Linked DNA regions of Drosophila melanogaster. The protein of the gene in region 2 interacts with the protein of the main gene of each other region in a biochemical or structural test. Each region holds a gene or a part of one and is shown on either strand. Other genes may lie near its edges.

What was found. The genes of interacting proteins can lie anywhere in the genome.
Region 1: of the proteins of Ubi-p63E (region 2) and not, one has a biochemical effect on the other in vitro, tested with the Drosophila melanogaster proteins (one study listed by BioGRID).

Annotation. Positions count from the first base shown.
Region 1 is NT_037436.4:18,617,479-18,623,854, reverse strand, and holds not (non-stop), read left to right. Parts: upstream 1-1,725; 5' UTR 1,726-1,742; coding exon 1,743-2,483; intron 2,484-3,022; coding exon 3,023-3,424; intron 3,425-3,485; coding exon 3,486-3,596; intron 3,597-3,663; coding exon 3,664-4,478; intron 4,479-4,647; coding exon 4,648-4,690; 3' UTR 4,691-5,049; downstream 5,050-6,376. Other genes in the region: bora (aurora borealis), read right to left, coding at 1-732, 791-1,068. UniProt on the Drosophila melanogaster protein: Histone deubiquitinating component of the transcription regulatory histone acetylation (HAT) complex SAGA. Catalyzes the deubiquitination of histone H2B, thereby acting as a coactivator in a large subset of genes.
Region 2 is NT_037436.4:3,897,419-3,904,766, reverse strand, and holds Ubi-p63E (Ubiquitin-63E), read left to right. Parts: upstream 1-1,582; 5' UTR 1,583-1,763; intron 1,764-1,846; exon of another isoform or gene 1,847-1,912; intron 1,913-2,059; exon of another isoform or gene 2,060-2,240; intron 2,241-2,716; exon of another isoform or gene 2,717-2,914; intron 2,915-2,996; 5' UTR 2,997-3,007; coding exon 3,008-5,299; 3' UTR 5,300-5,336; downstream 5,337-7,348. Other genes in the region: Sc2, read right to left, coding at 1-83, 146-261, 482-698, 856-1,226; Ccz1 (Caffeine, calcium, zinc sensitivity 1), read left to right, coding at 5,669-5,752, 5,808-5,905, 5,970-6,763, 6,827-7,308.

The DNA of each region.
Region 1 (6,376 bases), about 15 Mb from region 2:
CTGAGATGCTCCGACGGGGCAATGGGCGACGGCAGCTCCAGCTCGTGCATTAGAAGTTTCCTCTTTCCCGAGCAAGTACCATTATCGGGCGTGCCAGGCGGCAGTCCGCATAGGTTTCTAATGGGTGAAAGGCAGCCGAAGCTACTTTCCCCGGATGCGGAATCCGACAGTCTGCCAGCGAACATTGTTTGCTTGCCCTGCGGACTGGAGCCCACCATGGACCTCGATGGCTCTGCCGTGTCCTGTTCGCCCAAAACAATGACATTGTGCAGATCGAAGAGTTTCCGGCGCATGGAACTATTAAAGATGTCGGGACCACCACTTGACTTGCTCCTGCCAGACAAGCGGCCAGCCAAATGTGGCTGGAAGTACGGACGCAGGGCATCCTCTAGGGCTTTTGGCAATATCGGCGGCAAAGTAAGTTCCGTTTGCACCTCGCAATCCCGCATCCTTCGCGACTTATTCGATATGGGAGTGTTGTCCTCGCTGCAATTGAGTATTATGCGCTGTTTTCGCAATGGGCAATCCACCGGACTGGGCACAATGAGTGACTCCTTGAAAAAGGCACTGATGGCCAACTGGGCCTTGGATTCCTGCTCGGGATCGGGGGAATCGTGGAACTGGGTTTCATGGGGCTCCACGTCGGCGGGTTTTAGTTGGGAGACCTCGTCAATGTTCCACTCGAACTGGGTGGACGAGAGTTGGGGTGTCCGCGAGCGGAAAAGTGAGGGGCTGCCAGGAAAAGAGAGGGTCGCGTTAAGAGGATTTTTCGAGCAGACGAAAAACTCACCTGGCGATCAGTGGCAGGTGTAAACGATCGGCCATCGCTCCTTCGAAGGGATTCCGCACCTTGTGCAGCCTTTTCGGGGGCGGGGTGCACACATTTCCCGACATCTGGGGGCTGTATTTTCCATTTTCTTTGCCGCCATTCGTTGGCGTTGCCGACGCCGCCGACGAGTTGCTGCTGTTCGAGTGGCTGTTACGGCGCGCCCGGCACTTCAATCCGTTCACATTTGTAATGTATCGATTCTTGAGGGCTTGCGGCGTTCGCACCTCGTCGTTGTACATCTTTTTCAGTCACTAAGTCGCCTAATTTCGACTTAAAATAAAACAAGCGCGCCTGCTGCGACTCGCAGGCAGATGTCGGTATTTTCAAATGCAGCAGTGTTGTATAGCGATGCAGCGGAGTTATCGAATCGTTGGCAATTCGAAAAGCAGAATGCGAAAGTGAGGGATGTTCAAGGAAAAAAAGGTGCTAACGACTGATTTGTCACTTAATATTTATTTATTCGCATATCTAAAAGTGCCTGCAAATTATTTCGACTCCCGTCTAACTTTTAGTATTTTTATTTTGCGCGCCACCCGCTGCTTGCTGTCGATAACACATCAGCTGGGCGACTTTAACCGTTTTATAATAAAATGGGACCAGTCTAAAAATAAAGAATGGTTACTGGTATACAAAATTGTATCCCATTATAAACTTGAGGAATAAGTAGCTCGTAATTATCCGAATATGGATGCATTTCAATATTTGGGCTGCTAGAACCTTTTATTGTTCCTATAACCCGAATAGAGATTCCATTTCAATATAACTTTATCTTGAATGGTTTAGTTTACTTTCTATTTAAACTAATATTCCGTTTTAAATGTTTCAATACTCTTATATTAGAAAAATACCAATGCCAACATCTGAGTACGATTTCGCAACTGGTCACACTGACAGCTGTCTTCTACCAACACATATGCGCGCGTGTGTATGTGTTTGCGTGCAGTGCGAAATAGAAACAAGAAAAGCAAGCGAAAAATCACAGAAATTCACAAAAAAAAAGCCCAACTACTTCCAAAATTGGGCCGCCCGGCGAAGAACCGCAAAAGTGGCCAAAATTCGGCGAAAACAGCGCAAGTGTGACAAAGCATTCGTGCCGCTGCAGTCGTCGGCGAAACGGGCGAAAACAAAAGAGAATAGTGTTGATAGTAATACGAGCGTATTTAGCAGTAGCAGCAGCAGCAGCAGTGGCCGAAGCTTCGGCAGGGGAACGGAACGGTGGGCGGTGGGTGCAGAAGCGGGCCGGGGAACGGCCGAGAACGAAACACTAGCAGTAGCAGCAGCAGCAGCGACAACAACAAATGCCGGTCGCTTTATCACCGCCGATCTAATCAAAACAGTTAACAGCGACAAGCAGCGAGACAGAGTAGCAAAGGGCCACAGGGACGCGAAAAACCCCCTAGATGCCACCAAACATTTGCGCCTATCGGACTGCTTGCGTACCGTGCAAAAACTTGCTATTGAACTTGAGAGCGCCGACGCCGGCAGCGACGCCAGCGCCCAAGCCAACGCTAGCGCCGACGCCAGCAGCGCCGTCATGTCCGAGACGGGTTGTCGGCACTATCAAAGCTATGTGAAGGAGCACAGCTACGATACATTCCGGGTCATCGACGCCTACTTCGCTGCTTGCGTCAACAGAGATGCGCGCGAGCGAAAGGTGAGTTCAGTAGCGTGGAAGAGAGTGGGAGCTAGAATGAGTGCGCTACTGGCGTGGTGAGGTGAGAATGTGCGAGTGTGCGAAGGGGAGAACGCAATTACAATCAGAGGTGCGCCGTGAGTCACGTGAAAGGTCACTGACACCCCGGCTGTGGGATGACAGTGGCAGACAACGCACCGTTCTCACCACAAAGCAGTGCGGACTTTTTTGAATGGGTAAAGCATGCAACAGCTGTTTTAACAGCTGACAAATTGGCACTGTGAAAAATACTTTTGCATCGAAAAAGTTTTGTTTTCATTACGGTGAAATTACATATCAAGAAAAATATATTCAAAATATTTAATATTGTTACATGGCTTTTGTATTTTTAGCTTCATATTGATTATATATTATATTGCTTACGAGATTTAGAGTTTTCAAATTTTTGTTACACTTTTATGCATTTAGTATGGGACGTATTTTTTGTAAAGTTAATGGGATTAGAAAAAAAACGAATATAATTTTTTATCAGCTGCCATTTTAAAATCTACCTCCGCCAGGCTATTCACTGCAACTGCTTCGAGTGCGGCAGCTACGGCATCCAGTTGTACGCTTGCCTGCACTGCATCTACTTCGGATGTCGGGGGGCCCACATCACGAGTCACCTGCGATCCAAGAAGCACAATGTGGCCCTGGAGCTGTCCCACGGAACGCTCTACTGCTACGCCTGCAGAGATTTCATCTACGACGCGCGGAGTCGCGAGTATGCGCTGATCAACCGCAAGCTGGAGGCGAAGGATCTGCAGAAGAGCATCGGCTGGGTGCCGTGGGTTCCCACAACCAAGGAGACCAATCTGCTGCTGGCCAATGCGAGGCGTCGGCTGGTGAGGCCCAATCAAACGATCGGACTGAGGGGTCTGCTTAATCTGGGCGCCACTTGCTTCATGAACTGCATCGTCCAGGTGGGCAAATCCAATTAAACTGGCGAGTCTCCTCTCACTGACTTACTCCTGTCTCCTCTAGGCTCTGGTTCACACGCCCCTGCTCAGCGATTACTTTATGTCAGATCGTCACGACTGCGGCAGCAAGTCATCGCACAAATGTCTCGTTTGTGAAGTGTCACGTCTCTTCCAGGTGAGTTCAATATGCTGTGGTGTTTATGAGGAGTCTTTTCTATTCGATATGCTATCCCCCTTTGTAGGAGTTCTATTCCGGCTCCCGTTCGCCGCTGTCGCTGCACCGGCTACTGCATTTAATCTGGAACCATGCGAAGCACTTGGCCGGCTACGAGCAGCAGGATGCGCACGAGTTCTTCATCGCCACTCTGGACGTGCTGCATCGGCACTGCGTGAAGGCAAAGGCGGAGCACGAAAGCAAGAGCAACAGCTCTGGCTCGGGAAGTGGAACCAATTCCAGCAACTCGAGCAGCTCGCATTGCTACGGCCAGTGTAATTGCATCATTGACCAGATCTTCACGGGCATGCTGCAGAGCGATGTGGTGTGCCAGGCCTGCAACGGAGTGTCCACCACGTACGATCCGTTTTGGGACATTTCGCTGGACCTGGGCGAAACAACAACGCATGGTGGTGTTACTCCAAAAACGCTGATAGACTGCCTGGAGCGGTACACTCGGGCCGAGCATCTCGGATCGGCGGCCAAAATCAAGTGCTCTACCTGCAAATCCTACCAGGAGTCCACCAAACAGTTCAGCCTGCGCACTCTGCCCAGCGTGGTGTCGTTCCATTTGAAACGCTTCGAGCACTCAGCTCTGATCGATCGCAAGATCTCCTCGTTCATTCAATTCCCCGTGGAGTTCGACATGACGCCCTTTATGTCGGAGAAGAAGAACGCCTACGGCGACTTCCGGTTCTCTCTGTACGCCGTGGTCAATCATGTGGGCACCATCGACACCGGCCACTATACGGCGTATGTGCGGCACCAGAAGGACACGTGGGTCAAGTGCGATGATCATGTGATAACGATGGCATCGCTCAAGCAGGTGCTGGACAGCGAGGGGTAAGAATGACCAATATATTACAACTTTATCACCGCAAAAGCAGCATTCAATGTTAACTTACTTAAGTTGATTTCACGTCTTATCTTAAATTCATATACAACGTTATTTAGCTTTTTATTCGGATTATCAAATCATTATTAACTAACTACTTATTTTCACTTCTTTCAGTTATTTATTGTTCTACCATAAAAATGTGCTGGAATACGAGTAAGAAAATCCGCTGAGATCGATTAAAGCAGCGACTGCATCCCTCAAAAAACAAAAGCAGAAAACAGAAGTCAATGCATTACGAATTACGAATAAACACAAAATACAGACAAGGACGCGGCAGCGCTTACATATTAAGTAATATTAACACAAACACGAAAGCAATCCTACAATTTGAGGAGTGTTCATTTGATTCGATTGGGGTTATTCAAGCTCACAAACTCAAAACATTGGAACGAACAATGGAGAACAAAAAAAAAGGAAATTAATGAAAATGTAATCAATCTGAACACTCGATTTGTGGAGATACCCGTTTTGCTCTAAGTATTTCAAATCCATAATACTAAAAACAAAATCAAAAACAACAAGCAGATGACTTATACATTTATATTTAAAAATCAAACAAGGGATATTCTACAAACGCCGTATTACAAATGGAAAGCGAATTTTTATCATTTTTCTTGAAATGCCTTTTATTGAAAAAAAAAATGTTAAAAACTCATTTTCAGACACATCCGTTATAACTGAACCAAAATCCAAATCATGCTTATGAATGTCATGGATTTTTTTTATTTCGTCTTCATTTAAATAAGGAGAGCAATAATTGTAAATTTAAATACTTACATTTTTGGGGGCTTAGGAAACTGGGATTAAGATACATTGCAATTATTTAAAAAACAAAAAAAAATTACAACCGACGTCAACTTGGGCTCGTCCGGGAATTGAACCCGGGACCTCTCGCACCCGAAGCGAGAATCATACCTCTAGACCAACGAGCCTGCGGTACTGGGAGCGATCAGAATGACGCTTTTTAATGTGCGAGCCCTCTCACTCCATCGCTCTGCCTTGTGCTATGAGCAGGCTAAAAAGAGACAACTATAGTGTGCGCTTGGTTCGAACGCTTGCTTACTTATTCGATGCACAAACCACATTGAATGTTATCTGGGAATATAATATGCTATTTATGAGCATACATTTTTTAATTCCGTGTAATGAGAACCTACTCTTGTTGGATAAAATCCAATTGTCTAATTAAACTTTTCACAGTCACAGCTATACATAATTGTTCCTCAATTTTCGTGAGGAATTTTATTTATTTTAAGGTATAAAATCCTTTTTCTGAGACTACCATCTTCTGAGCTTGAATTATTATTAATTTATTAAAGGAAATGTATATTTTATCGGGTCAATTACCTTATCGATAAGATCGGGAGCTTTGCAATACTGTCGCAGTTGGAAAAAGTCTAGGTGTCGTCAGAACGCGGATTAAAATGTAGTTTCAAAAGTCGTACAATTATCCCAACTTCAAGTAAAATGGCTGCATATGCGAGCGCAAGAGGCAAAATTATTATCAACGCTGCCCAAAACATCCAGAACTAAGCAGCCAAAATGTTAAAACAAACGGTTAATATGCATGCTCATATGATTTTGCCGCAGATGAATTTTTTAATGTACGCTCGACAATGCGCTTTTCGCAACGCTCATGCAAATTACTTGTGAGTCTCCGGGATTTAAAAAAGAATCAATCCTAGACGAAAACTGTAATGTTACATAGTTTGTACGTAAGGAAATACATAAACATTATGGAAATGTGCCAATTTTTCAATTGTAATGAACCAAATTGCGTTTGTTTACTTTTTGTATTTCGATGGTATAGGTCAAGTTTCACAACAATGTATTTCGACTTAAG
Region 2 (7,348 bases):
GATAGGCAGCCAGGCAAGAAGTCAGCACAGAGAATGAAACCCAGGCACCGATCTCATAGGTGTAGTTGGGGCAAGAAACCAAGCTGCAGTTCGAAGAGCGCGAATTAATAAACTTGAGCTGTGGGTTTTTTTAGTGACCACTTACTCGAACAGCTTGGTGAGGGGATTTCCATCGGCCACCGGAATCTTGCGCACTTTTGTTCCCGGCGGACGCAGGTTGCGCAGGGCAATGTGCACCGAAAAGTTTCCTAGTTCGCAGAGCTGAAAGTGAAAAGTGTGCGGCTTAGTTTGTGGGTCTGCAAATATGATTAATGGATCCCAAATATATAGCACATATAACATTACAAATTGCTTGACCAATTTTAACAAAAAGCTACACCTTTGGTATTAAGAAACAAATGTTTCGAACAAAAGCAAAGGAAACCGGTAGATTACGAAAACATATAACCCAGATCCATAAACCATGGCCGCGGATACATACAGCGAATGCCCCAAGAGCTCCCCAAACGGTGCACATGCAGGGCGAGGTGAACTGCGGATGGTTCACGTGGTAGGACACATAGGCGGTGAATCCCCAGTAGTATGTGCAGTTCTTGAAGAGATTCCTCAGCGGCATGGTGGCGTGCGAGAAGCGGTGCACGAAAATCGTCTCCAGCAGACGCTTCACATAGTGGACCGTATAGCAGCCGGCGGCAATGCTGGGGCAAAAGAGAAAAGAAAGCGGGTTACTGGGTGAACCACCATCCAAAGTTCGGGGATAATTATGCAGAGCCGTTGCGTTTTAGTTTGCATAAGCGACGAGGTCGATTAGGTCGACAATCGAAAGACTTCAGAGACTACTTTCTACAAACTCACTGGGTGGTTAGGGAAATCGGCAGACTGGCAGCTTTGCCGTACACCAACTCCGGTCGGAAGTAGAAAATCAAGTATACAATCAGTGGGCCGGCGTACTCGGCCAGGAAAACGGTCTTCCAGCCAATCTGGGGACCCAGATCCTTCACATAGATCTTGTCGCCGGAACGCAGCGACAGGGATTCCAATGTGTCCGTATCCTTTAGGCTTTTGCCCTTCAGTTCCAGACGAAGCGACTGGCGATTCGCGTGTGGGGTCTGCTTCAGGGTCTTGTGAATTAGGGCGCGCAGATCGCCGATGGGCGTGGCGCCGGAGGGCACCTTCACCTTGCCGTACGGCTTGCTGTTCTTCGCGTTCAAAATCTCCAGCTCCATTTTGCTTTCGGTGCGCTTGCAATCAGTACTGTCCAAAATCGAAAATCGCCGAACCGTAGTGTGACCGTGCGGGGCTCTGCGAAAATAAACTTTTTTAGGTATATGGCCACACACGGGGAAAGCACAGTGGATTATATGTATTAATATATTATCCAGGTTTTCATTACTTATCCAGATGTAAGCCCACTTAAAGCGATTTAACAATTATTTGCCGAAAGAGTATAAACAAATTTTACTTAAAAATGGATTAAGAAAAGCTTGTGTAAGATTATGCGCAGCGTTGCCAGATAGCTCCATTTAAAACACTTCAAAAACAATAAGTTTTGAAAATATATACATAAATAGCAGTCGTTGCCGCAACGCTCAACACATCACACTTTTAAAACACCCTTTACCTACACAGAATTACTTTTTAAATTTCCAGTCAAGCTGCGAGTTTCAAAATTATAGCCGGTAGAGAAGACAGTGCTATTTCAAAAGCAAACTAACAAGGGTCTTAAATTCCAAAACACCAATCCTAACAAGCCTTGGACTTTTGTAAGTTTAGATCAAAGGTGGCATTGCATTCAATGTCATGGTAAGAAGTAGGTCGTCTAGGTAGAAATCCTCATTCAGCCGGTCAAGTCAGTACGAGAAAGGTCTCAATTTGAAATTGTCTTAAAAATATTTTATTGTTTTGTACTGTGGTGAGTTTAAACGAAAAACACAAAAAAAAAGTGATACATAGAAATCATAAAAAATTTTAATACAAGGTATTCGTACGTATCAAAAACATTTCGGCACAATTTTTTTTCTCTGTACTAAAGTGTTACGAACACTACGGTATTTTTTAGTGATTTTCAACGGACACCGAAGGTATATAAACAGCGTTCGCGAACGGTCGCCTTCAAAACCAATTGACATTTGCAGCAGCAAGTACAAGCAGAAAGTAAAGCGCAATCAGCGAAAAATTTATACTTAATTGTTGGTGATTAAAGTACAATTAAAAGAACATTCTCGAAAGTCACAAGAAACGTAAGTTTTTAACTCGCTGTTACCAATTAGTAATAAGAGCAACAAGACGTTGAGTAATTTCAAGAAAAACTGCATTTCAAGGTCTTTGTTCGGCCATTTTTTTTTATTCAACGCTCTACGTAATTACAAAATAAGAAATTGGCAGCCACGCATCTCGTTTTCCCAATGAATTGGCATCAAAACGCAAACAAATCTATAAATAAAACTTACGTGTTGATTTTCGCCAAGATTTATTGGCAAATTGTGAAATTCGCAGTGACGTATTTGAAAATTCGAGAAATCACATACGCACTCGAGCATTTGTGTGCATGTTATTAGTTAGTTGTTTAGTTAATTGAAGTATTTTACCAACGAAATCCACTTATTTTTAGCTGAAATAGAGTAGGTTGCTTAAACAAAGCCACGTCTGAAAATTTCTTATTGCTTGTAGTTGTGACGTCACCATATACACACAAAATAATGTGTATGCATGCATTTCAGCTGTGTATACATACATGCACACACTCGCAACACGAAAACGATGACGAAGCAACGGAACAAAGGTTTCTCAACTACCCTTTGTTCCCTGTTTCTTCGCTTTCCTTTGTTCCAATATTCGTAGAGGGTTAATAGGGGTTTCTCAACAAAGTTGGCGTCGATAAATAAGTTTCCCATTTTTATTCCCCAGCCAGAAAGTTAGTTTCAATAGTTTTGTAATTTCAACGAAACTCGTCTGATTTCGTACTAATTTTCCACATCTCTATTTTCTTCCCGCAGAATAATCCAAAATGCAGATCTTTGTGAAGACTTTGACCGGAAAGACCATCACCCTCGAGGTAGAGCCCTCGGACACCATTGAGAATGTTAAGGCTAAGATCCAAGACAAGGAAGGAATTCCCCCAGATCAGCAGCGTCTGATCTTCGCCGGCAAGCAACTGGAAGACGGACGCACCCTGTCCGATTACAACATTCAGAAGGAGTCCACCCTTCACTTGGTCCTTCGTCTCCGTGGTGGTATGCAGATCTTCGTGAAGACTTTGACCGGAAAGACCATCACCCTCGAGGTAGAGCCATCGGACACCATTGAGAATGTGAAGGCCAAGATTCAGGATAAGGAGGGAATCCCCCCAGATCAGCAGCGTCTGATCTTCGCTGGCAAGCAGCTTGAGGATGGACGCACCCTGTCCGATTACAACATCCAGAAGGAGTCCACCCTTCACTTGGTCCTTCGTCTCCGTGGTGGTATGCAGATCTTCGTGAAGACTTTGACCGGAAAGACCATCACCCTCGAGGTAGAGCCATCGGACACAATTGAGAATGTTAAGGCTAAGATCCAAGACAAGGAGGGAATTCCCCCAGATCAGCAGCGTCTGATCTTCGCCGGCAAGCAGCTTGAGGATGGACGCACCCTGTCCGATTACAACATCCAGAAGGAGTCCACCCTTCACTTGGTCCTTCGTCTCCGTGGTGGTATGCAGATCTTCGTGAAGACTTTGACCGGAAAGACCATCACCCTCGAGGTAGAGCCTTCGGACACCATTGAGAATGTTAAGGCTAAGATCCAAGACAAGGAGGGAATTCCCCCAGATCAGCAGCGTCTGATCTTCGCTGGCAAGCAGCTTGAGGATGGACGCACCCTGTCCGATTACAACATTCAGAAGGAGTCCACCCTTCACTTGGTCCTTCGTCTTCGTGGTGGTATGCAGATCTTCGTGAAGACTTTGACCGGAAAGACCATCACCCTCGAGGTAGAGCCATCGGACACAATTGAGAATGTTAAGGCTAAGATCCAAGACAAGGAGGGAATTCCCCCAGATCAGCAGCGTCTGATCTTCGCCGGCAAGCAGCTTGAGGATGGACGCACCCTGTCCGATTACAACATCCAGAAGGAGTCCACCCTTCACTTGGTCCTTCGTCTCCGTGGTGGTATGCAGATCTTCGTGAAGACTTTGACCGGAAAGACCATCACCCTCGAGGTAGAGCCATCGGACACCATTGAGAATGTGAAGGCCAAGATTCAGGATAAGGAGGGAATCCCCCCAGATCAGCAGCGTCTGATCTTCGCCGGCAAGCAGCTTGAGGATGGACGCACCCTGTCCGATTACAACATCCAGAAGGAGTCCACCCTTCACTTGGTCCTTCGTCTCCGTGGTGGTATGCAGATCTTCGTGAAGACTTTGACCGGAAAGACCATCACCCTCGAGGTAGAGCCTTCGGACACCATTGAGAATGTTAAGGCTAAGATCCAAGACAAGGAGGGAATTCCCCCAGATCAGCAGCGTCTGATCTTCGCCGGCAAGCAGCTTGAGGATGGACGCACCCTGTCCGATTACAACATCCAGAAGGAGTCCACCCTTCACTTGGTCCTTCGTCTTCGTGGTGGTATGCAGATCTTCGTGAAGACTTTGACCGGAAAGACCATCACCCTCGAGGTAGAGCCATCGGACACAATTGAGAATGTTAAGGCTAAGATCCAAGACAAGGAGGGAATTCCCCCAGATCAGCAGCGTCTGATCTTCGCCGGCAAGCAGCTTGAGGATGGACGCACCCTGTCCGATTACAACATCCAGAAGGAGTCCACCCTTCACTTGGTCCTTCGTCTCCGTGGTGGTATGCAGATCTTCGTGAAGACTTTGACCGGAAAGACCATCACCCTCGAGGTAGAGCCTTCGGACACCATTGAGAATGTTAAGGCTAAGATCCAAGACAAGGAGGGAATTCCCCCAGATCAGCAGCGTCTGATCTTCGCCGGCAAGCAGCTTGAGGATGGACGCACCCTGTCCGATTACAACATCCAGAAGGAGTCCACCCTTCACTTGGTCCTTCGTCTCCGTGGTGGTATGCAGATCTTCGTGAAGACTTTGACCGGAAAGACCATCACCCTCGAGGTAGAGCCCTCGGACACCATTGAGAATGTTAAGGCTAAGATCCAAGACAAGGAGGGAATTCCCCCAGATCAGCAGCGTCTGATCTTCGCCGGCAAGCAGCTTGAGGATGGACGCACCCTGTCCGATTACAACATCCAGAAGGAATCGACCCTTCACTTGGTGCTCCGTCTCCGTGGAGGAATCCAGGCTTAAACTAAATACATTTCCAAATAAACACAATTTAGCACGCACTTCACTCTAAATAAATATGAGGAGATTATGGATGGCCACTTTCCTTTCTGCATTGTCAAAAGGGAAGACATCAGAAAAATTCTAAATTTCAGTAAACGCCATGACATAAATTTTATTAAATCTATTAAATTCCAAAATAAATGAAAAAGCTTTAAATTCGCTTATTAATTGTGTGGTATTTTTTTTAATTTGGTACTGGAAACGTTTGGTATATACTAGCACACTACATTTGGTAAAATGTAACCCTGGTTGGCAAACACGGACGCGTTAGTACCTTTTCATTATTTACCTTTGGCCAAAATAAATACTTTTAATTCTGTGCGGAAAGAAATGGCTAAATTATTGCAACGCGTAGAAATTACGTTACGCAGCTTTTACATTTTTAACTCGACTTTTGGCCAAGTTGAAGGCGAGGTTGGCAAATCAATTTTAAGGCTAAGAAACGCCCCTAATGAGTAATTTTTTTCAGGAACACAAGAAGGTTTTGTTTTACCATCCAAATGACATTGAATTAAATACGAAAATCAAAGATGTGGGACTAAGTGAGGCCATCATAAGGTTCACTGGGTATTTATGGAACTTTTTACATAGAGGGAAGTGGGTAATAATACAGAGTTTGCTGTACTTGCAGAACTTTTACATCTGAAGATGATTGCCAGGCCTTGCATACCCAGAAAACCACACAACTCTTCTACCAACCCGAGCCAGGGTATTGGTTAGTACTGGTCCTGAATGTTCCCAAGGAGGTGCGCTTAAAGGAGGGCGTGGAGGTGGCCGATTATCGGGGTGCCGAGATCTCCGACAGGATTTATAGAGCAATACTTAGACAATGCTATCAAATGTTTCGCTTTCAAAACGGATGTTTCTCCTCCTGCGGAAGTGAAGAACCTAATCCGGATAAGCGTAGGGAACTGCTCTGCCAGAAGCTACTCCAGTTCTATGATCAGCATCTGACCAACCTGAGGGATCCCGCGCAATGTGATATCATCGATATGCTGCATTCCATTCAGTATCTGCCATTGGATAAAACGCTCTTCTTGCGGGCCCAAAACTTTGGCACCCTGTGCGAGACCTTCCCCGACATCAAGGAGAGCATAATGCTCTACCAGGAGCAGGTCCTTTGTGGCGGAAAACTTAGCCCGGAGGATCTGCACTGCGTGCACTCGTATGTCGTGCAACACGTGCTGAAAGTCGAGGCCAGCAGTTCCACCATTGCAGTTTCTCCTTCACTAAAGCGAAGCATAAGTGAATGCCAGGTGGGCGGATTCGTAAGAAGTCGTCAGAAGGTCGCAGGAGATGAACATGACGCTGTGAATGAGGAAGATCATCCAATGAAGGTCTATGTGACACTGGACAAGGAGGCCAAACCCTACTACTTGCTCATCTACCGCGCTTTGCACATAACTCTGTGTCTGTTTCTGAATGGTATGTTAAGGATTAGAACTAAATAGCCAAAATAATCAACTTGAAACATTCCACATTTGTCAGCTGACCAGGTTGCGCCGAAACAAGATCTCTACGACGATCTCCATGCCTACATGGCTCCCCAACTGACTTCGTTGGCCCGGGACATATCCAGCGAGTTGACAAAGGAGGCGGTGGGTGCTGCAGGCCAGGACAACTCCAGCGGGAACAGCGAAACGGCGCCGAAGTACTTGTTCATTAACGAACAAAGCCTGCAGCACCACACGAACTTTCAGAGGCACCTGCCCCAAGGGCTGCCCCGCAATGTGCTTAGTATCATTGCGGACTTGGCCAATGGCAGTGGCAAGGCGGAAATGGAGAGTGCTCCTGCCGAGGAAGTTCAGGTCAAGACCACCAATGACTATTGGATTGTGAAGCGGCGCTGTAACTACAGGCAGTACTATGTGATCCTGTGCAATAGCAAGGCCACCTTGCTGGACGTCACCCAGGAAGCGAGGCGCATTTTCGAGCAAGAGCTCACAGATGATGTATTTTTTGACAAATAAAGAGGAGGATTAGGTAAATAATGGGAGTGCGCCAATTGTG